Linked DNA regions of Arabidopsis thaliana. The protein of the gene in region 3 interacts with the protein of the main gene of each other region in a pairwise test. Each region holds a gene or a part of one and is shown on either strand. Other genes may lie near its edges. The genes, in order: Y14, MAGO and AT5G59950.

The links.
Region 1: the proteins of AT5G59950 (region 3) and Y14 interact in a two-hybrid assay, tested with the Arabidopsis thaliana proteins (one study listed by BioGRID).
Region 2: the proteins of AT5G59950 (region 3) and MAGO interact in a two-hybrid assay, tested with the Arabidopsis thaliana proteins (one study listed by BioGRID).

The regions. Positions count from the first base shown.
Region 1 is NC_003070.9:19,100,463-19,108,777, forward strand, and holds Y14 (RNA-binding (RRM/RBD/RNP motifs) family protein), read right to left. Parts: upstream 4,472-8,315; 5' UTR 4,292-4,471; coding exon 4,021-4,291; intron 3,708-4,020; coding exon 3,571-3,707; intron 3,062-3,570; coding exon 2,907-3,061; intron 2,656-2,906; coding exon 2,610-2,655; 3' UTR 2,329-2,609; downstream 1-2,328. Other genes in the region: ABCG12 (ABC-2 type transporter family protein), read right to left, coding at 1-46, 282-510; AT1G51520 (RNA-binding (RRM/RBD/RNP motifs) family protein), read left to right, coding at 6,327-7,042, 7,242-7,388, 7,511-7,690, 7,777-7,880, 7,974-8,053, 8,132-8,228. UniProt on the Arabidopsis thaliana protein: Core component of the splicing-dependent multiprotein exon junction complex (EJC) deposited at splice junctions on mRNAs.
Region 2 is NC_003070.9:400,116-407,755, forward strand, and holds MAGO (mago nashi family protein), read right to left. Parts: upstream 4,342-7,640; 5' UTR 4,287-4,341; coding exon 4,071-4,286; intron 3,833-4,070; coding exon 3,656-3,832; intron 3,412-3,655; coding exon 3,352-3,411; 3' UTR 2,985-3,351; downstream 1-2,984. Other genes in the region: RA-5 (RAS 5), read right to left, coding at 235-331, 610-713, 816-971, 1,049-1,120, 1,208-1,255, 1,346-1,393, 1,480-1,552, 1,660-1,673; ALG12 (homolog of asparagine-linked glycosylation 12), read left to right, coding at 4,512-4,554, 4,642-4,727, 4,797-4,838, 4,950-4,995, 5,115-5,201, 5,315-5,370, 5,533-5,650, 5,778-5,836 and 9 more. UniProt on the Arabidopsis thaliana protein: Core component of the splicing-dependent multiprotein exon junction complex (EJC) deposited at splice junctions on mRNAs.
Region 3 is NC_003076.8:24,135,443-24,143,609, forward strand, and holds AT5G59950 (RNA-binding (RRM/RBD/RNP motifs) family protein), read left to right. Parts: upstream 1-4,496; 5' UTR 4,497-4,792; coding exon 4,793-4,963; exon of another isoform or gene 4,964-5,159; coding exon 5,160-5,303; intron 5,304-5,451; coding exon 5,452-5,520; intron 5,521-5,613; coding exon 5,614-5,792; intron 5,793-5,887; coding exon 5,888-6,062; 3' UTR 6,063-6,425; downstream 6,426-8,167. Other genes in the region: AT5G59930 (Cysteine/Histidine-rich C1 domain family protein), read left to right, coding at 1-1,054; AT5G59940 (Cysteine/Histidine-rich C1 domain family protein), read left to right, coding at 1,970-3,925; AT5G59960 (K-stimulated pyrophosphate-energized sodium pump protein), read right to left, coding at 6,910-7,074, 7,319-7,452, 7,539-7,602, 7,697-7,797, 7,872-7,926, 8,003-8,059. UniProt on the Arabidopsis thaliana protein: Export adapter involved in nuclear export of spliced and unspliced mRNA.

The DNA.
Region 1 (8,315 bases), on a different chromosome or scaffold from region 3:
TTCAATAGAAGATTACCGGTCATAATCACGTTTCTTGCGAGTCTACCTATATACATGGGATAATTCTGAACAATTATTTAAAATTATTTAAGATATGATTTATTTGTTTATCTTTTAACGAATAATGAGTGTGACTTAACAACTAGAATTAGCATAAGGTATAATAAGAATCCATAAATTAGATACGTAAATTATGTAGAACAAAATAATGAAATAGAACAAATATTTATGTACATAATCAAATAAATCTCACTCACACTAATACCAAAAAGAAAACGAACCTGCGAGAGAATCAAGAAGCGTGGACTTGCCGGATCCGGAAGGACCCATAATGGCCATAATCCGACCTGGTTCAGCATGACCGTTTAATCCATCGAGCAATCTTCGAGTCGGACCACCACTAAAGTTTGGTATAACCACCGTCAAATCTTCCCACGCCAAGTACGCCCCACGGCCAATCTCTGCCGGTGGCGGCGGACGTCGGCCATTGCTCGTACTCTCTAACTCCATTGTTTTTGTTTGATCTTGAAAAAGATCAAAACCTTACTTATTAGAGAGAGAGAGAGAAAGAGAGAGTTTTGTTTGTTCTTCGTCTAGGTTATTTTTATTATATTGGTTGGAGATGGAATTATAAAGATAGTGATTAATTTTTGTAGGCCTAAGGTTTTCTTTAGGTGAGACTTGAGAGCAACAATCAACAAACAACTAATTACATTTAATGGATGGCTTTAATATCATAACCATATATAGATACACGTCTATAGTATATAGTTTTTTTTATTTTCTTGCACATTAAATGTAAGAGAGTGAGAGTTGTGTGAATGAGGTCTAATATTTATACAATCGTCCATGTGTAGTAGTAACTAGTAAGCAACCACCTACTTATTGACATACTATTATACGTATGAAATATATTTTTTATGTCGGTTCTTGCCAACTAACAAGAAATTTCGTCCACACAGAAATCAAATGATATTTTTGTGAAATGAAATTTAACAGTGTGATTATTTACGATGAGATGTTTTCATTTAGTTCGAAATGAATAGAAACATCACAAATCAATTAAAGGATCCATATTTGGTTGTCTACTAATTCCAAGGGATTGATAGTGATACTTTGACAAATTTATCGTTTTGTTCACACATAGAATTATATAATTATCATTGTATTAGTTTTTGTAACTATAAGCAAGAGAAGTGATATTCGATAATTAATGAAGAAGATATATAAAATTAAGTTTGAAAAATCGTGTTTGGTTGAACATGTAAAATCAAGAGACTTGATAATTGATAAGTTTGAATGACATAAAGAGGTAGAGAACCCTCGCAACGAGTCTTCACAGGTGTTAAATGAAAAGGGAAAGGAATTAAATGTGTGGTAGTTGGAACCGATATAGTTTTTTTTTTGTATTATGCTTCATTATTTCTTTTTGGTCTATCCGTCCATTTATTATCTTCATGATTTTATGGTTATCTTTAGCTTTTTAGCTTTAGTATAGCGCTATGTCTAACCACATTTTTAAGCATTGTTTAGTATTTAACACAACCCTAAGTTATAGACTTCTTACTATTTATATCTAGTAGGTTTATTGGTTCTTTTTAAACGAGTAAACTGATACTAAACAAAAGTACCTAAGATTTCACAAAGTTTTGGTATAAAAAGAAAACAAAAAGAAACAAGATTTCCAGAAAAGAGATAGAAACCCAGATTCTAAATTCAACAGAATCTAAGGTATGGTCTTATAAGCCTTTGGCACCATCATTAACAAGAATACAAAACTGTTTTTTTTTTGTTGGAATCATGTAAAAGCATATCATTTTTTTTGTTGGTGACAACAAAAGCAGAACTTATATAACTGTTCCAACTGTTTCATATTTATACTTTTCAGCTGTAAGTTAGTATATGAGAGCCCTTAAAATAGATGGATACATAAACATAATGTGGGACTGGCTCAATGCACAAAGTATAGATGATTGATTCGTACAAATGAAATCATGCAACCTGTGAGTAGCAAGAAAGTACATGCTCTATCTCAAATCATCAAACCTTTGATGATTTCTTTTAACATATTTAGGATACGAATAGTTACGCCTATAAAAACAAACGATGTGAATATTGCCATTGATTGGAAAATTTCAGCCAAAATATTTAATAGTCATTTGATGATTTCTGTTAACATATTTAGGTTACCAATAGTTACGCCTAGAATAATAAACCAGTGTGAAATAATGCCATTGGTTGAAAATTCTTTGATTTTTTCTATATAATCATATTTGGTTTTCTAGTGTAATGGAAGGTCTTTGATTTTCAAATTCTGTCTGACCTAAATATGAATCAATAAGAGAATGAAAATTAAAACATTCTTCCTCATCCAATGTTTCTCTTCTTTTACCAATACAAAGCATTAAAACAGATCTCATGGTGTTTAAACGCAACAATCCCATGCAAATGCATAAAGAGATAAACCAATGCAAAAGCAGCCAAACCCTACAAAAACCCCAGAAAAAAATTTGTTCAACACTCAGCGTCTTGCATCAGTACCTTACAGATAAGAGAGGGAATCCCTAATACAGAGAGATATGGGGAGAACTCTCCACCAAATCATACAATCAGTAACGTCTTCTCGGACTTCTTGAACGTTGCGACCTCCCATACCTGTAAAACCCCAATGATCAATGGATGATGATTTAAAGAAAGGTATAACTACTTGACAAGTCACAAGTGATTTCGATTCATTAGCATAAAGACAGTAAAGTTTGGTAGGTGCTTAGTACAATATACTACCTTGTCAACTGTTAAAACTTCTAAGTCTATATCTTAATTGATACTTTTTGACACTCTTGACTTCATATCGGCACAAGATCAGACAAGTCGTAGCGGAACAGAAAAGAGATTAGGATACAAACCTCGAGTTCTTTCTCCTGTAAGATTCACCACCACTGGGACCGCTGCTGAAGGCCCAGTCAACGCTAACATTCTGTGTTAGAAGCTCAGCACCATTCATTGCTGAAATAGCGCTCTGTGCTTCTTCCTTCTTCTCATATTCTATCAAAGCATATCCCTTATCAAAAAAAACAAAAGCAAAGTGTTACTTCCACTTCCATGAGAACTCAAGCAAACTAAAGAAAAATAATATTTGATTCCTAAACTCGCATCTAGAAGACAGCTTATCTTATTCGACCCGTCATTTCTGACACTTTGAAGTAACTTAAACGAAGTGTCCTTAGGGAACAGCATTGCACTTTACAGAATATTACATCTCCCTCTTAAAAGCAATGTAACATTGCAAAGATAAATTTATCATTTTTGGCTCTCAATTTCAGATATTCAGTATTACATTGATTAACACAAAGCATGTCAAAGAGTAAAGTCAACATCTACGACAAAACAGTATTGCATTCATCTCTAAATTACATCATGACAACAATCCAACAAATCAAGCTTCACTATAACAAACCAAAAGGCAAAATGATATCAACATAACTAAGCAAAAAAATTAGCTTCACAATAACTAACCAAAAGGCATAATGACATCAAGAGCCACTAAGAAACAAAGGCAAAACTCCATACCTTGACATAACCACTACGGCGATCGAGATTGAGATTTAGATTCTTAATCTCCCCAAAATCACCAAAAGCATTGGTTATATCCTCCTCCTGTGTCTCCTCATGAACTCCAGAGACCAAGATAATCCATCCTTCAACGGCTACACATAAACACACACAACAAACAAATTCATCCAAAACAGTCCCAATTCTTCATTACCCTCAAAGAAACTATGTTCTATCTTCACAGACTCTAGAACCATTACATTTTTTATAATGGTTACAAACTAAATCTAAACCAATCTAATTTTTTTCAAAAAACTTCTAGGTCAAATTGAATCCCAAACACAAGGGGTTATGAGAAACCCTAGAACAAATTACTACCACAAATAAATCAACAACGCGAAGAATCAGTATGCCAACACTAAAACCTAACTAAAAACAGCGAAAGAGGAAGAGATTTAGTGAAATTACATCTCTGCGGACCAGGACGGCCATCTGAACCAAGTGATTCGAAATCGCGTGAGGAAAGACGACGCTGACGATCGGAATCTTTCTCCTCGCGAAACCCACGGCCTTTGGTCTTCTTTGCTGATTCGCCATTAGCTCCGGCAATAGCCGACTTAAGCCTCGGATGTCCCGCGCGTGGAGAAACATCAGCTCCGTCAATAGCTGTACCTTCTTCGTCCATAAGGTCATCCTCCTCTGGCTCGAAATCGACTGCTTCTGATTCTATGTTCGCCATGACTTCCGCCGCCGTAAGATTTCCGATAGATCTCTTCCCGTTTCGCCGACTGATTTTTTGTTTCCTTTGTTTTTGGGGACGGAGCTCTTTCTTCTATCAAGATATTTCTCTGCCAGTGTTGTTTATAGGAATATATTGGACCTTAAGTGGGCTTATTTTGGGCTTTTACGCTTGTATTTCTTTCTCACGCTAGTTTTTCCTTTTCCCTTTTAAACAGGCTTTGATTAAACTCCTCTCGTCAATGTTAGTGGGCTTATTTTGGGCTCTTACTTTTTTTATTTATTCTTTCACGCTTCAGAGTAAGCTAAGCCTTTGATTTTTTAGGTTTCTTACAAAACAGGCTTAAGCCTTTGATGAAAACTTCTCTTGTTAATGTTACATTATCTGAATTTCATATGTCGAGAGTGAATCATGGCATACCTTTTTAAGCATTCATGATGTCAAATTATTGTATCACTTCATAATTAGGATACTATCAATCATATTGTGGTATTTAACACTTTACAGTCGATACTGGTCCATCTCTTTGATGGTGATCATCATTGTTTTATCCGTTTGCATACAATCATTATAGTCGAATATTGCTTTCTAATTCCCACTCTAATCTCAAATAAATCTCGTCCAACATGTTCGACCAAATTCTAAGAAAGAAAACATAGAGAGATGCAAAGCATTTAAAGAAAACAAATCTTAGTTCGTCGCCAATAATTACTTACGTCATTTAGAGGAGGGGAGAGCATTAATTTGGAAAACATTTATTGTCTGGTTCTGTTGACTAAAGTAGTACAAAACTCTGGTCAATTTACGACAACTATTTAACAACACACGTGTCCTTAAAGAAGCTATATCGACCGTTGATATAATATCTAAAGATAATCTTAACGGGTAGGATTTGGAAATGAAGTAACCGAAGACCGTACACTCGTTACAGTGTTGAGGAAAAATTAATGTCATGCGCGAGTTTTGGTGTGACGGGGAAAAGAACAGCTGCCTGACAAAATTTTGTTTTATGGGATGGGATAGGGTAATTGTTGTCGATGAGCCCTATACTAAAAATAGTAGACTTCACAGTTCAAGTGACCGTTTGTCTTTAGCTGGCCCGGTCATGAGAGTTAAGGGCAAAAAATATTTTACGGGCAGGTCCTAATATTTATAGAGTATACTTTTTCTTTACGGGCAGGTCCTAAGATTTATATAATCTATACATCACAATGCTAGTTTTCACTTAGCTATGTTCAGGGATAAGCCTGGCCCTTATTCATTTGGTTTTGTTTTTTGATAGAGTTTTTGACCTCATTTTTCCCCTTTTACTTGCAGGTTGTAACGCCAAAGAGTTTGGGAGAAAAAAAAAATTAAATCCACCAAACAGTTGTAATTATCAATTTTGTTGGAACCAAGTGATTCCCATTACTATAGGTGAAGAAACTAAAATCTTTATTAGTATAGAGTATAGAAAGTGGCAGACCAAGAATTTCTTTTTTTTTTTGGGGTCAAATAATTTAGTTAACTAAAAAATTACTTTATATAAATTATTTTAACTAAATAATTTAATTATCTCCAATAATCTTTTACTGCAAATATAAATTGTTCTTCTAACAAATCAATCTAATAAACAAAAAAACAAAAACGAAAACAATGTATTGAAAAAGCTACTTTATCCATGAAAAAGGGAATACATAGTGTTGATACCTACTAAAATCTGTTACTACAATCTTTTTAAAATCTGTTAATGCTCTTAATTTGCCAAAATAATCAGGTCAATATATATGATTTCTTTCCATTCTAATCTCGCTCTTTACGAAACTTGAATATCCCTAAAAATCGATAACAGTTTCAAAGAACAATAAAAACAAAAAAGGTTCGATTTTTAAAAAAAATTGTTTTTTTTGCTAAATGCTTTTTACAAAGACAAAATCATACAAAATTCTAAAAGAAACATACATTTATGATTTAACGCAAACCCAAAAAGAGCCTTCACCTTTTTTCTCTTCGTCTTCTTCACCATCTTGTGGGGAAAAACAAAACTTCTCCGGCCATGGATCCTGGCGACCCAACTTCAATAATCTTTTCAAAGATCAGAACTTTCGAACTTGAGAACGCTTCCAGAGTCATTGACTATTTTCTCTTGCAAGACATGGAACAAAGAGATTTGATTCGAATTGCTTTTGGTCCTGACTCTCTCATACAGACTTTCTGTCAGAAAGCTAAAGTCGATTTAGGTTTTTCCTCGAACGGTTTCTCGAGACCCATCAATATCCATGGCCAGTCATTGTCCTCGTCTTCTCCCAGAAATGGGTTCTTAGAGTTCTCGAGAAACCCTAGTAACCCTTTGTCTTCTTCGTTAACTTTGAACACACTCAGAGATAATAAGCCTAACTTCAATTCTAGTCCTTTTCGTGAAAGTTCATCACTTTTTGCCTCTTCTTCCGGCGATGAGCAGCAGCAACAACAATTCAGTAACAACTTTCTGTTCACAAACGACGAGGACCCATTTGCCAATTCTCACAAGAGGAGTTTCTCTGCTAACGATGCTTGTTTTGAGTCAGAGGAACCATGGTTTGGAGGAGGAAATGGTTGTCATCAATTTCCACAAGGCGGTTTAGTTGATGGTTTTGGTTCCTCTGGTGTCTTTGGATCGCCGAGTGAGATGGATTACATGCTTGAGGGGATGATGAGGATGAAGTTAGCTCAGCAAAAGAGCATGGTTGCTGCTCAGTTTATGGCGGCTTGTGGCTCTCCAATGTTGCATAGGTAAGTTTGGGATTTTTTGTTTTCTTTCTCTGTGTATGTTCTGTTAGGAAAGACTTAAACTTTACACAACAAGAGTAGTAGCATTTTAGCTTGAGGCAAGTTTTTTTAGATGGTTTTGGTTTGTTCTCTTGGTTTTGTTGTATCAAGAAGTTTTGAGCTCTGAGGCTTGGTTTTCCTCATGGTGATTGTTTCTTTGCAGACACGGATCAGGACATTTTGGAGAAGAATGTGGTAACTATTTTAGTCAAGGAAGGCATGAAAGAGAGGATTCAGTCTCTAAACAGATTTACTTGACATTTCCATCTGAAAGCTCCTTCACTGATGAAGACGTCTCAACCTATTTCAGGTAAATCATGTGTTGTGATATAATCGGGTTATAGATGTAAGGAAGGACTCTGTTTGGTGTACATTTGGATTAGGGAGTCATGTTTCTTTGTTTTGACTGTCATGTTTTTTTTTAATGTGTAGAGATTTTGGACTTGTGGATGATGTGAGGATTCCATATCAGCAGCAAAGGATGTATGGGTTTGTAACTTTTGCTAAGGCTGAAACTGTGAGAACCATATTAGCTCGTGGAAACCCTCATTTCATATGTGACTCACGTGTGCTCGTTAAACCATACAAGGAGAAAGGAAAAATCCTTCAAAAGTAATGCTTGGTCCTTGTTACTATTTATCATGTTTTTTTCTTTCTCTTGGGCGTTTTCTTATTATAGTTTGGTGAAACAATAGCAGGAGGCAGCAGCAACAACTACACGAGTTGTTGGAGAGAGGGAACTATTCACCTTCTTCAAGTCCGTCTGGAAAGGACTCGAGGGAACTATATGAATGTCGCTTAGGTTGGTTTCAATTTGTTAAAGAGACTTTAGAAAAACAATTTCTTGTTTCCTTCTTACTGAGATAGTAACTCTTCATTCTATATTCGTTACCAGGACCAAGGATGTTTTCAAAGAAGACACAGGAGATGTTGCGAAGAAAAACCGAGCAAGCTGATTTACAACATGCCATAGAAGTAGAACTCCAAAGATGAAGGTTCTTGAATCTGCAACTACCTGACATGGAGAATAAATATATTCACCATCACCACCAGCGTAGTCCTTCTATTGGTTCTCCCTCTCATTTCCCACCTCGATTCAATCATAGTCTTCTCTTTCAATCAGGAAACAACAACGAAGAAATCATGGAAGGTTGTTGTTGTTGTGCTCTCTACGTTTTAAGCTTTCTTTTTCTCGGTCTTTATTCATTCTTCTCCTCTTTTGTTATCCTTTGGTCAG
Region 2 (7,640 bases), on a different chromosome or scaffold from region 3:
TAAAGGCAGAAATGAAAAACAAGAATGTTGGAAAGATGAGGACCTCATCATGAGGTAAAGCAAATAGGAAACGTGAAAAACAGAATAATAACCAACCAAAGGAGCTTAATTACAGACAAGACAGATTTGGGGGGATGTTGTGTAAAAACCAAGTAGTAGTGAATTGGAGCCTAGTCAAAAGAAGGAACACGTGTTCTAAGATTGGAAAGGATATTGCTAGGCTGGTCACGTCAATCAAGTTGAGCAGCAGCCGTTCTTCTGTGCCACAGGCTGTCCTCTGATCTGCACGGTCGGTGGTCTTGCATTATTCCCAGCTGGTTGGCTAGCCATTCTGCATCCAAACCACAGAGATCAATTTCTCTCATATATCACACGAACGCACACTCTCTGCAAATTGATTAAGTACAACTACTTGAATTTTCAATTTGAACACTGCAAGGTCAACATCAGTCATTTATTTATTTCACTCCAAGGTCACTTACACAGTGACACTTTCTGAGATCTATATAAACACTTACAAAAATGAGATTATGGCTTCGCAAAAGTTCCATCAGGTATGATGAGTATATTAACCGCAGTTACTTAAAAAGAACGATGTAAGATAAATACCTCTCTTTGATGGATGCAGACATTGCCATGAAAGCCTGTTCTACGTTTGTAGCATCTTTTGCACTAGTCTCCATAAAAGGAATCCCGATTTCATCGGCAAAAGCCTATGAATGTTTCGAAGTAATCAGGAAAGTAATAATAGCCTTAGAGTTTGATGATTTTCAAAACTTGAGAAGAAAGAATTGGTTCAAGTGGCATATATATACCTTGGCAGTTTCATAAGGAATGGCTCTGTTTTCAGTAAGATCAGACTTGTTTCCAACAAGGAGTTTGTTGACATTGTCACTAGCATAACGATCAATTTCACTCAACCATTGCTTGACATTATTGAAGCTTTCTTCATCTGTGACATCGTAGACAATCTACCAGGTGCAAGAACTAAATTAGGACATAAACTTAAAGGAGTCAACAGAAAGAACCTAGATAAGATGTTGCTTACAATAATTCCATGTGCCCCACGGTAGTAACTGCTAGTAATAGTCCTGAACCGTTCTTGACCAGCAGTGTCCCACTGAAAATAAGTGAAGAGGGAAAAATATGAATTAAGGGAAAGAGACGTAGAGCTATTAACTTGACAAGTGTGAAAATAGTTACATACAATTTGGAGCTTAATTGTTTTGCCATCTTGTTCCACAGTCCTAATTTTCTGAACAAGAGATATATAAGAAAAAAAAAAAGGTCAGATCAAAGCATCGTCATCAGTAGCAAGAAGAAAAAAAAGAAAACATCAACTTACAAAATCGACTCCAATAGTGCTAATGTAACTTTCTACATAAGAATCATCCTGCAGCAGAACAACAAACATGAACAAATGTAGAAAGCTACAGTGTTTGATCTCTGAGAAAGAAAAAGACAAAAAAAAAAACTTACAGAGAATCTCAAAAGAAGACAAGACTTGCCTACGCCAGAATCCCCGATAAGCAGGAGCTTGAAAAGATAGTCGCTGCAAATCCCAAAACGCTAATTAAACCCTAGGAACCACCCGGAGAATCAAATATATAACAGAGGTAATTTCGACCCAAGTATGTGTCGATGGAGAAAGGAACTTACTACTCAGGATTCATGGTTTTCGATCTGTGGGAGGAAGAGCAGCGAGCGATACAGAGCCAGAGATCTCTCTCTCTCTTTTCTGATTTTCTCTCGCGATTTACAAGAGGAGGAGATTCAGTGTTTGGGCCTTGAATAATAATATGAGCGAAGGCCCAATAATGCAAAAGATTAAAATTCATTCTTCTTTCACAAGTTTAGGGTTCCTACGATCCACTCAGCAACGAAAATGGATCAAGCCCGACAGAGTCCAGAGGAGCGGAGGCCCAATAACGCCAAGATTAAAATTCATTCTTCTTTCACAAGTTTAGGGTTGTAAATTGGCCCTTCCTACGATCCACTCAGCAATTGGAGATTGTTTTGTGGTTCCCAGATGTTGGATCTATACTAGTCTTCTTGATTCATTTTTCCAATTGTTGCTTGCTTTTTGATTGACATCTATATTTTAAGTTGGGAGATATACTCTAACTCTTTCTGGAGGAGGAGGTTAAAACAAGGTAAGGCTTGGACTCGGGTCCCATCTTCCAGTAGAAGCTCTCTCTCCAGTTGATGCCTTGTCGATTTCAGCACCGTCTGCCAAACAAACACAAATTTACTTACACTCAGTCTCTGAAGACTGAGTTGATCTCTTAAAGTCAAAGCTATATGGAGGAGAAAGGCTACGTTAAAATCCATGTAAAAAAAAAAAAAAAAAAATCCATGTAGGAATCCCGCATTGTGAGCCACTTATCATCCATCACCTTGAACGCAATGCAATATCGAATATCAAATGCGGACTCGTTTTCTAACAATAAATTATACACCATCCAATTGTCAATATATATGGCTTCGCGTTTATCTCTCTTAACCCAAAGCTGCTGTAACTAACTAACTAACCAGCTACTAATGTTTCCCCGACCATCTTAAAAGGTAACTAACTAACTAGCTGATGCTAGTTGGTGCCTGAGCAGGGGTGAGATCAAAGGAATAACGAGAGTGGTGATCCCTTTTCTGTGCACAAACACAAGCCAGTCCCCGCCCTAACCATGCACCTGATCCTGCCACAAGATGAAATATGCATGTGACTCTCTGCAACACACTACAACAAGGTAAAGGAGACTAGTGCGTGCTTAACCTGAGGATGAATGGCAGGTGCGTCCTCTGTCTAGGCTGTGAGTAATCCGCCTGACACTGACAAATGAATCCTCCATTGTTCTTCCCGATTCATAAAAAGCTACTCTTGATATCTTCAATGCAAAACCAGATTTACGGGTTTTGGAGGAGCAGTTTGAATGGTCCGAGGGCGTTTTTTTAGAATGGAAACAATCCTAATTATCGACTAATCCAGCTAGTTTTTGATACTTTGTATTTTAGATAGATCACATTCCTTAGTTTAAATTGGCTTGAGGGAAAAGAAACATGCATCATATGTAGATGTACATTAGGGAGAGTGAATGATTTGTGATAAGAAAACAGCAAGTATATGGTTTTTAGAAGATAGGTTGTGGTTCATGAAAGGTTCTTCACATGGGATGTTGACACAAAAAAGGACCAAAAGTTGAGGTAGAACATCTTACATACCCACTTTCACCCAAATCCAACAAAAAAAAAAAACAGAGAACCAGAGACATAAAAACAACCAAACTTCAGTCACAAAGTCCTCATGTTCCCAACAAATTCATCGCGTCTTGACATGTCACAAACTGATTTTCTTCTCTAGATAGGCTTGATTTTGAAGTGCAGAGAGATGAGCGAAAAAACAAGACATTTCAAGTCCTGCAACCATGAAAGTTTCAAAAGGAATATGTTAGAGCACAAATAAATACAGAAACTAAAAAAAAAAAAACTACAGAACCATGTAAGGGATGAGTGTTAACAGCCAAACCCTAAATGTTAAAGTTTGAGACAGTGAATACGTTAAAAGGCAGAGTCCTAAATATATAATCGAGTCCAATAGAGTTAAGGGATTAGGTAAAAGAAAAGATGGTAAGGCAAGGGGTGGAAGAAAAAGAGAGGAGACCTGAACAAGATAGTAGAAGATGCGAAGTCCTTCAGGATCATTACTGCTCTGGCAATCAACAAGAGATCCAATCTTAGATGTAGCGAATGAGATATGCTCATTACCCAAGACGATCTCGAGCTCTTGCTTTCCAACACGGTCAGGTTCCGGCCAATTGTTATCGTCTTCTTTCAGAATCTACCCGCAGACAAATAATCACATGTCAGGTTGTACAAAATCATCCATTATTCCTAGATAATAGCATTAACAACGAAGAGGGTTCTAAACCTACAACACTAGTCAGGAAAGATGCCCTAGATCGACAAAAATCGAAGCAAAATCACTAAAACCCTAATTGGCTATTATAGCGTCGATTGACCAAAACGCGGACAATTAACAAGAGAGAAGCAAATCGGAAGAGAGAGAGAAAAAGGACCTCGCTCTCGGAGACGATACGCTTGCATTCCTTGAGCACGGCGGGGGTGAGAAATACCTCCTTGCGGATAATAGTATCGTTCTTGTAGTTAGAGTTATTGGCGTAACGGAGCTTACCGTCCTCTCTAAACTCGAACTCCAGGAACTCGTGTCCAAATTTCCCTTTGTGACCGACATAGTATCTCAGGTAGAACTCCGTCGCTTCTTCCGCGGCCATGCCTTCTCTTTTTTTCTTTCTTTCTCGAGATCGAGATTACCTCTCCGTGTCCTTTGCCCTTCTTTAAGTCCGTCCCCGCAAAAGAAAAAAGGTAATGGGCTTACATATTGGGCCAGAACCCATTTGTAACCCGAAAAGTTAAGGCCCAGTTTTAGTTTTTCTGTTTCCATCGAAATTGTGTGTGTATCCGGGCTGCCTGATTTCCGATTCCCCGATACAGAGACGATGCCGACGGATTCGAAAATGGCCAAGTTTCTTCAATCCTATGGTAATTTCTTCGTTTCGTCTTCTTAGGCGGCCAGATGATCTCTTTTTCTTTTTTTATATAACTGAAACTTTCGATTGGTGGGAGCAGGATATGATTTGATTCTGGGATCTGTAGCTGCAATCTATGTGGTCATGGCACCATATACTAAGGTGGAAGAGAGCTTCAACGTTCAGGTAGGTTTTCAAAGTATTTAGAGTCACACTCTTTCTCCGTTTTACTGAAACCGTTTCACTCGTCTCAAGTCAATGCACGACATTCTTTACCATCGCCATCATTTGGACTCTGTGAGTGACCTCTCTTTTTACTTCTTCTCTGAAGCTTTACTCTTTTTTTTTTTATCTCTAGAGTGATGTCAATTTTTACCGACTTCTGTCTTTTTATTTTTTTCCTATCAGTATGATCATTTGGAGTTCCCCGGTGTTGTCCCTCGAACTTTTATTGGTAAGGAGGGCTGTTGAATTTCGCTCTCTGTTTTTGCATCACCTGTTGATGGTTTTTTTTTTATCATTATACATTAGTGGATGGTTTTTTTTTTATTCCACTCTGATTTGTTCTTGCAGGAGCCTTCATAGTCTCTGTTTTTGCATCACCTGTTGTATCAATTATCAGCTGCCTTGGCTTCCCCAAGGTTTATAGCCTTGTTGCAGGTTTCTCTTCTGTTTCTCCCTCCCTATATAATTCCTTAATGAATCGCTAACTATTTTCCCCTAAACACAGACAAAACCAATTCACATCATAGTTTTATCATTTTGTCTTGCAGCTCGTTTGGTGTTGGGCTGCATCATATTGTCCACACTAAGATTTTTCCGGATTCAGGTATGAAGTTCCTTTAGTGCTTCTTTCCATACCACACTTCTGACTCCCCTATCTGATTCTTTGTCCCTTCCCATGTCCTTGGAATTGGGATCTCTTACATGCATCTTGTTGGCTGTTTTTCTCCTATATACTGCCACTGACCAAAATCTACTGGTTTGTCAGATAAAAAAAAAGTTTGGAAATCAAGTGGAAACTTTCTTTGTACTTTTCACCAGTCTTCAGTTTCATTTTCTTTTCTACTGCACTCGTCCTCTTCCTAATATTCTAGCTTTGGGATTAGGTAATTACTTCTATTCATCTTACTCTACTAGTAGTGGTCCTTCAGATGTCCTAGCAATCTTTCCCATGACCCATCTAGCGTAGGCCTTACTAGGTTCTGCTTATGTTTTTAAATTTTGATTTTGCAGTCAATCTGGCATATGGTAATTGGTTAAAGGGAAATTTTTATCCAGCTTTGAGTTTCCTGGTATGTATTATCTTTGTGGTGACATATTTTCTCGATTATAGATTTAGAAAATCGGTCATGCTATCCAGAACTATGGGGTTTGCTGACATCTCTGTTATCCGATAATCAGATTTTTGCCACTGTAATCTTCAGATGCGATACGATGTTACTGCTTGGGCCTATTGGTCTTGAACTTTTATTGGTGAGCTGGTGACGAATATTAAATAGTTTGGGTTCTCAACTTCTGTATATGTATAATTGGCCGTATACTTTACCGTTCCATCTGATGCGGGTGCTTTATGTTTGTCAATGACAGACCAAATCGATCTCCTTCTGGAAAGCACTTAAGTATTGTGTTGGAACCGCTCTGTTGGCCGTAGGTTGGTTAAAATTCCTCTTCTTTCTGTGATCTATTTTGCTTTTTCCCTTCAGACACTAATTCCCGAGTCTATTTTCTGTGGTCATGGAATAATCCTTAGCACAGGTCTTACCATTTTCGTTGACTCTATCATGTGGAAGAAGTTTGTCTGGCCAGAATTTGAAGTTTTCTGGTTTAACTCCATTCTAAACCGGAGTTCTGATTGGGGTGTATCCTTCAAAAAAATTGTTTCCTCAATTGATTTATTTTTCATATGATGCATAATGTTCTAGCATTTTTCTACTGCCTGATTAAAGGATTGCGTTCTGTACAATGATAACCGTTTGGAATTTCCAATTCAAAGTTTAATATTGTGGCACTTGCATTTGTATGAAATGATGTGTTGTCCTTGAAAATTAGTTGCTAAACTAGACACATTCCATACATTGGTACTTCACCTCAGCACTCCCACGGTCTTTACTTGTAGCTTATCCACTTTCATTGGTAAATACCAGACTTCCTAACATCTGTGATAGTGTTTGTCTTGTTCCTTTCTAGTTAGGATCGCTAATTGTATCTCTACAAATTTTCTTATTTGGTTTCTTTTTATGCAGCTTGGTACTTTAGTTGACAGAAGGGTTCCATTCTTTATAGTTCCAGTTTTATCGTTCGTTATACTATACTCTAAACTTCCACACAAGGTATTCAGATGGATTACTTATCTCAGTAGCCATCAACGTTTCTTAACCATTTTCTGACATCGGCTTACCTATCTTTCTTGATTTATGAAGGAACTCCGATTTATCATTAGTTCAGTGCCAATGTTCAACTTGTCTGCTGCAGTTGCTGCTAGCAGAATGTATGAGTTCTATCAGATGTTTGCTAGCTAAGCTTTCAATCATAGCTAGGACGTTCTTTGATTCTGTATCTTAAGAGCTCTTTGGAGTTTGGATACACATAATTTCTGTATGCCACTTTAAATTACTACCAATGCGGGCCGACCTCTTAATATAATCCGATTTTGTTGTACAGCTACAATAATAGGAAGAAAACGATTTGGAAACTGGTGAATATGGTTATGCTAGCGTTTTTTGCAATCAGGTAGAAATAGTAAACAATTATCTTTGCTATGTAAGAGAAGGAAAGAGATTTGCTAGTCTACTAAACCTGGTTCTATAGTGCAGGGTGCACGGTTGTAACATTCATGGCATCTTACTACAATTATCCTAGCGGCTATGCTTTAAAGCGCTTGCATCAGATTGGTGAGTGACTTATTCTGTTATTGGGGTTTGTTATTAATGCAGCAGCATTGACTTGGCTATCAAACAAGAAACATCTGCTGGTCAGCGTTTGTTTTGTGGTGTCTATCTACCTCTGGTTGATAATTTGCCTACAATATGATTAATTGACTTGGTGCCTTCCATGGTTCTCAGGCCATCCTGCAAATGTAGCTGGGGAAGAGTGGGT
Region 3 (8,167 bases):
TGGAGTTTGCCGAAGAAGTGTATGCCAATTCAATGGAGCTTATTCTTGCTTAGTTTGCCCCAACTATGCAGTTCATTCACGGTGTGCAACAAGATATGACATATGGGATGGTGTGGAACTGGAAGGGAAAGCTGAGAATATTGAGGATATTGCGCCATTTAAGGTGGTTGGGGATGACTTGATTCGTCATTTTAGTCACAGCAAACATTCTTTAAGACTCCACAAGAACAATATCATTTATGATGATAGTACACGATGTGAAGCATGTGGCCATCCAGTCGAATTTGGTCGAATATACAATTGTGAGGAATGCTGTTTCATTCTTCATGAAAAGTGTGCTAATCTCCCTATGAAGAAAAGGCTTGTCTTTTCTACCTTACCATTCCTATTACTGGGACCGGGTAATGATGTTTGCAAGGTTTTAGATTGCAAGTTATGTGGAATGTTTTTTACTGGTTTCGAGTACAAGTCCCAAGAAAGGAGGCAAAGCGATATCGATGTACATTGTGGTTCCCTTACGGAGCCGTTCGTCCATGATGGCCATTTACATCCCTTATATTTTGATCAAAAGCAAAAGGAGCTTCCTTGCAATGCTTGTCAAAAAACCATAAGAGATTATATGCTTTGTTGTGCTGATTGTGACTTCAATTTGTGTTTATGGTGCGCTAGTCTGCCAAAAAAGATAAGGCATAGCAACGATGAGCACATTCTCACGCTATGTTGTGGTGAAGAAGCAAATGGAAAATATTGGTGTGATATCTGTGAGGCAGAGTTGGATCCAAGTAAATGGTTCTATACATGCTTTGGTTGTGGAGGCACATTGCATGTGGAATGCGTACTAGGAGATTTCTCACGTCTCATGCCAGGATGCACCATTGACTACCGGGTATATACCGTGGAGGTGGTTTTCAATAATCACAACACGCGACCAATGTGCAGCCGGTGTCACTCTCGATGCAAGGTTTCTGTAATCCTTAAGTTTCGTGAGGGTAACATTGTATATTTTTTTTGTTCACGTTCATGTTTTCTGATGCATTTCTCATATTATCTGTGAGGCATTGCTACGATTTTTCATGTGAGAGGAAAAGGCTTTGATGTTTTATTCTAAATTGATGAGTGTATCTTTTACGGTGGTTTCTCAATTCTTCCCCTATTTAATCTTATGAAAATTATTGGTGTGATACATGCGAGAGAGAGTTAGATCCAATTAAATCGTTCTATACCAGTAAATCGATCGATACAGTTACTTTGGAGACTTATGTTATTGTTCCCGTTCATGTTTTGTGAAGTACTTTGCAATAAACCGGTGGATCTTTCTTGGTGGTTTCACACTTGAAAAAATATTCGCGGTGAACCTTTATTTACCGCTTTTATTCCAGTTAATTAGAATTTGTCACCTAATAAAAAAAATTAAATTTATTTAATTATAAAATCTTTTTTGACAGACGGATAAGACCATGTTTTACCTGATTTATGGGCGGGCGGATAAAACCATCACCGCCTGCCATTGAACATCTTATCTGTCATGACTATTCTCCATTCACTAGTCTTTTTGAAGAAGCGAGAGGAGGAGCCCCTTTTTGAACAACTACTTTTGACAATCAATAGAAATCCAAAAGCTAAATCGATTCATATCAAACAATATTGCTAAAATATAATATCGAACGCAACAATAACAACTACAGCATGTTGTGCAATGTAATATTTCTCGGAAATAGATAGTCAATGCTATCAAATCATGATTTATAAGTTTAGAATATATATCTAAAAAGTAAAAACATATTTCGGATCAAATTCGAATATTTTGATTTTGACTTTAAAATAAAAATATTACAATCCTGATCTGGAAACTCTGTATCATATTTGTTGGAAGTTGGATGGGATCAAAATTTCTCTAACCTCCACGTTCAGCTTCCATTTCTCCTAAAGAAAAAGAGAAAAGAAAGAATCTCATTCACATACATCATACATGGATACAGGAGCAGTAAAGCTACCCATTCACGAGCACCCTATATTTCCTTCGGCTCGGATCGTTTTTAGTACATGTAAAGGCTGCGGTGTAGAAGATTTCGTCTACGGCGGGTACGTCTGCAATGATTCTGACTGTAAAGCTCGGTTTCATAAGGAGTGCGCTGAGGCCCCATCTGAGATCAGCCACTCTTTCCACCAACAACATCCTCTCTTTCTCACCAATGGCCTGGGAGATCTTCCATGTGATTTGTGTGGACAAAAGCGATTGGAAGCCGCTGGTTATAGTTGTCCCACATGTGAGTTCAAGCTGGATTTGACTTGTGGGATAAACCCATCACCGCCTGCTATTGAACATCCTATCTGTCATGACCATCCACTTGTCTTTTTGAAGAAACGAGAGGAGAAGGCCCCTTGTGAAGTTTGCAAGGATTCTATTGGTGGACCTTCCTATTCTTGTCTTGGATGCGATCTGTACTTCCACGTGGATTGCGTCCATCTCTCAAAAGAGGTAAATCATCCTTGCCACCCTAGTCATCCTCTCAAGCTCATCGCATCTGAATCACTTACGGATAATGCTGAGAAGATTTGTCTTTTATGTGAACAACAACCAGAAAATATGCTTTATTATTGTTCTGTTTGCAACTTCACATCATGCCTTGGTTGTACTAAACGCCCACCACCTCTTTTTATCGAGCATACCAAGACCCACAAGCATCAACTTACTCTCTTTCTAAACGGAATTTCATATCAAGGTTCCGCGCTGACATATAACAGCAGAGCTTATATGTGCCTTCCTTGTGGTTTCGTTGTCAATGGGAATGGTATCAACCTACCTCAAGTCATAAACATCAACCGTCACGACCATCGTATCTCTTACACTCATCAGCTTGGCCCTGGATATTTGAACTGCGGAGTTTGCCGCGAAATTGTTGACAGGGATTGTGGGGCATATGCTTGTGTCGTTTGCAGTAACTATGCAGTTCACTGGGAATGCGCAGTACATGATAATGTATGGGATGGTGTGGAATTAGAAGGGACATCTGAGATCACAGAAGATATTGCACCATTCAAGGTAATGGGTGATAACTTGATAAGTCATTTTAGTCATGAACAACATACTCTAAGGCTGCACAAAGAAGGCATCATTCATGACGCGTACGCACTATGTGAAGCATGTACATATCCGATCGGATTTGATCCGATCTACAGTTGTGAGGAATGTCATTTCATTCTCCATGAAAAGTGTGCTAATCTTCCTATGAAGAAGAGACTCGTGTTTGCAACCACACCATTCAAATTAGTGGGAGCAAGTAGTCGTGTTCGTGATGTGATAGACTGTGGGTACTGTGGTGAATGTTCTACTGGTTTTAAGTACGCATCTCAAAGAGGGTGGGAGATAGATGTACATTGTGGTTCTCTTTCTGAGCCGTTCGTTCATAATGGCCATTTGCATCCACTATATTTTGATTCTAAGGAAAATCACTCTTGCAATGCATGCCATAAGGTAACGGTTCATATGCTTTGTTGCAATGCTTGTGACTTTGATTTGTGTTTAAGTTGCGCTAGTTTGCCATTAAAGATAAGGCATAGAAACGATGAGCACCCTCTCACTCTATCTTGTGGTGAAACGGCGAATGGAAAGTATTGGTGCGATATATGCGAGACAGAGTTAGATCCAAGTAAATGGTTCTATACAAGCTTTGATTGTGGAGTCACATTGCATGTGGAATGCGTACTAGGAGATTTCTCACGTCTCATGCCAGGACGCATGGTTGATACTGTTGGGGGAAAGAAATTTTATGTGGTTCTTAACAATCACAACACTCGACCATTATGCAGCATGTGTCGCTCTCGATGCAAGGTCTCCGTCATCTTAAAAGCTTGTGATGAAGACAATGTATACATATGTTCTCGTTCATGTTTTTCTGATATGGTTTCAGCTAGATCATGTTGATTGAGTGTTTAATTTGTTTAATTTTGTGTGGAAAGGATGAAACTTCGATACCCTTTATATTTTACAAGATGAGTGAATTATTCATGGTTGCATTCGCTAGCTGCCCTACAAGTCCAAATTCAATATCTGATTTTAATTTGAACTTCTTTACTTTGCTCGTCTTGCAACATAACTGAGTTGTGATTTAAATTCTAATAGATACTGTTAAGGGTTTCCATGTCTCTATATTTTATCTATATAAAGATATGCCTAAGAGTTTATAATTCCATCACTCATAAGATTAATGCAAGAAAATATCTTAGAGACTACAAGGTTCAAAGATATTTGTTTATTCTTAGTTATGTTTTCTAAGATTTCTCTAAATTTTGCCCGAATTCACAACACAGCTTTAATTATCATTATACTCTTCCAGTTTTATCTGTAAGAAACTAGAATGCAATCAGACTCATTGTTATGCGATAGCATGATCACTTATAGTTATGAAAATCATTGTTATACGGTAACATATTGAAAATATTGAATTGCTATACACCGAATGGCCAAGTATATATAACCAAGGTAAAAATATGTCAAAATAATGGCTTCGCCCGGGTTCGAACCGGAGACCTTCAGTGTGTTAGACTGACGTGATAACCAACTACACCACGAAACCTACATGCTTCTTTCTAACCTCAACAATATATATATACATATAGATAACTGTTTAATATTGTAACTTGTAACCAGTGTCGGCTAATTTCGACTTTTGTAGATCTTTTTCTGCTCTTTCTCTCTCTCTCTCTCTCTCTCTCTCTCTCTCTCTCTCTCTTGTATTATTTCTATCTCCCCCGCCGTCGAAAGAGAAACGTCGATCGGAGAACCTTTGAAATGTCGACTGGATTAGATATGTCTCTCGACGACATGATCGCCAAGAACCGTAAGTCTCGTGGTGGAGCCGGCCCCGCTCGTGGAACCGGATCCGGATCCGGACCGGGTCCGACTCGCCGCAACAACCCTAATCGGAAATCAACCCGATCTGCTCCATACCAATCAGCCAAGGTCCAAATCCGTTCTACATCTGTTCTTTCTTCTTCTTCTTCTTCTCTCTAGTTTCGCCGGATCTTTCTTCTCAGATCTGCCGATTCATAATGGAAAATAGACTCTGCGTTGACGTTTTCTTTAAAAAAGCTTTTGGTGTTGATCAATCTCTCAATACGTGGAAAATATCAAACAACGGATTCATTTGGTTGTATAGGCGCCGGAGTCCACCTGGGGTCACGACATGTTCTCCGATAGATCTGAAGATCACCGATCGGGACGTTCCTCCGCCGGAATCGAAACTGGAACCAAGCTCTACATTTCCAATTTGGATTACGGTGTCATGAACGAAGACATCAAGGTGCCTAAATTGTTCTTTACCCTAATTCTTTGTTAATCTGCATAGTTAGGGTTCCTGGAATCTAGCATCGTCTTACCTGAATAGATACCAAATATAATGGATTCGATCCTGCGAAGTAGTTAATATGAATATGTTTGTTAATATGCAGGAACTGTTTGCTGAAGTTGGAGAACTTAAACGCTACACAGTTCATTTTGATAGAAGTGGAAGATCAAAGGTACTTGTGAATTGTGATGATAGTTTTGTATGTCTCCTTCCTCTTATTGAGTCTTGATGACTGAAGTATTGTAAACTACTTTATTACCATTAGGGAACTGCTGAAGTAGTGTATTCTCGGCGTGGCGATGCACTCGCAGCTGTGAAGAAGTATAATGATGTTCAGCTGGATGGAAAACCCATGAAGATAGAGATTGTGGGCACTAATCTTCAAACTGCTGCAGCCCCGTCTGGTAGACCTGCGAATGGAAACTCCAATGGTGCTCCATGGAGGTGAGATTAAGCACTGCTCATTACTATGTGTTATATGTAAAAGCTTCTTCCATCTTGTGAGGTGTATTGAAAGTGTGTTTGTCTTACTGGGTTAGCAGAGGAGGACAAGGGAGAGGAGGTCAACAACGAGGTGGTGGACGAGGAGGCGGTGGCCGAGGTGGTGGTGGTCGTGGTAGGCGTCCTGGTAAGGGCCCTGCAGAGAAGATTTCTGCGGAAGATCTTGATGCGGATCTTGATAAGTACCATTCTGGAGATATGGAGACAAACTAAGGAACGTGACTGATCTTCTCAAACCGGTAGGGGTTTTAGGAGGAAGAGAATCGAGAAAATGTTTGCCAGAGGCTTTACCACTTAGCGCCTTTTTGGCTGTGTTGTTCATTTGTTTCATTAGAATGACTTTACAGAATTGAGAATATGTGTTATTTAAAGTTGTTGTCTATCTTAATACCCTCAAGTGAAAGGCAGAGGAAGGAATACCAATTTCGTTTACAGATCATATGCAGGCAAAAGAGTTTTCAGAAATCAGGTTTAGTTACTTGTATTGTGTCTCTTATCCAAGCCATGCCTTGTGGTATTATGAGCGCAGAATTTTGATTGAATATTGTTCATTTGCATTAAAGTATCAAACCATTTACGCAAAATTGTTCAATAGTGTTACTCCATGCATGAGAGGATTTTCAGAATCTATCGTTCCAGTTCTGTATATTGTGCGAGTCTCAACTTTTTAAGTTTCTCTCTCTATTTCTAAGCATGTCGAATTAGTAATATACACAACGTTGGATGATATCATGGTCCATGAATGGTGAAAAGTTTAAGGGTTCTTAGTTCTTACAGATCCAATACAACTAAAACAGAAGGCCGAAATGGTTTATCTTCTACACAAGAAGGGTTTCTGGACACAATACACGTCCTCTATAGCAAAATAACAATTTTACCAATGACAACAAAACAAGTCAAAAGCTTATCCATGGGATCTTTCACAAAACGGAGTTTATCTTCTCTGTAGACAGTAATACAGGTGAAGGTAAGGTTCACTGGTTTGCCTCTTTGACCAAAACCACATTATATACACAAGGATTGGATTCCTGCTGTAAGCTTCATCAAAAGTAAAAGCTATTCAGCTCTGCCTTGGCTTTTCTCGCCGTGAAAAGATGAGCCTTACGATAGAATAGAGTACCGCCTTAATGCAAGAAACCACAAAGTTCCAGCATGAGGATGGCCAGTACCACGGATATAGCAGCCTGAAAAATAGACTAATGAGATGCCTCGGGTAACGCCCAACCTGCAAGACAAGAGCATCACAATGTTACAAGCCAAGCCTATCCATAATGTGATCTATATGCAAGTGTTAAAGACATCAAACGAGCGAACTTGAGCCTGTTTTGCTGAACTTTGGGAGCTTTCAGATTTTTAGGTGATTGCCTAAAACTCTTAGATGATGTTTTTGAAACCCATACACACTTACACTGGATCTTGCAATCAAAACAATGGGCCTAAACCTGAACTTTTTACAAGGTAATACTCACAGGAAAGAGGGAATCCAAAGCATCCCAGGCTGCATGACGGACGGCTCTTGTCGGGTACATTGGACCTCCAGGAGAGGTAAAACTGTATAAACACGCCTTTAACCTTGTGCTAGTAGTCATTCTCAGTTCCATACCTGCAGATGAAATCAAACATTTCTTATAACTTTGATTCCATGTTAGATGCAGAATCTAGACAAGTTCCTAAAGGAGAGAAATGTACCTTGAAGAATCTTCATCTGAGAAAGATAATGTAGCAGCACTGGTTCCACCTTCAGTTTTTGCAGCTGCCGCAATAAAATAAGAAATATTAGATGAGTGATGTGTGTGATACAATTTTGAGAGAAATTGAAGATAGTCATAAAGCTTTTGCTTCTATACCTGATCAGTTAGTTCGATAACAAGGAAATCTCCAGGTCCTCCAATCAAGAAAGCATTTGGAAACTCTGGGAAGTTCCTCAAGAAGCTATCGAGTTTATCCACTGGACAACAATTTGTCAGTGAAAGAAGAAACGCTTTGGTTCCAATGATAACTTTTCAGAGAAAAATGTCTTACCTGAATTGTAAAAGAAAATGAACCTAGAGAGTAAGAGATACAGTTCCCTCTGAGCCTGAAAATAGGTATATGGGAAAGTCAATCTCCAGGTTCTCCATCAGTTGAACCATCATGAGAATGAAGAAACTCACCTGAATGGGAATTTTTTTCAATCGTATCTGCTCCAAAGCAACTTCCTCAAGGAGATACTAAGAGAACAAAGAGATGTTAGTTACAGTGGCAAAATTGCATGGCGATTTGAGCGTACAGTAACAACCCGATTTGACAAGTACAAAGCAATATTTATTGCCTAGAAG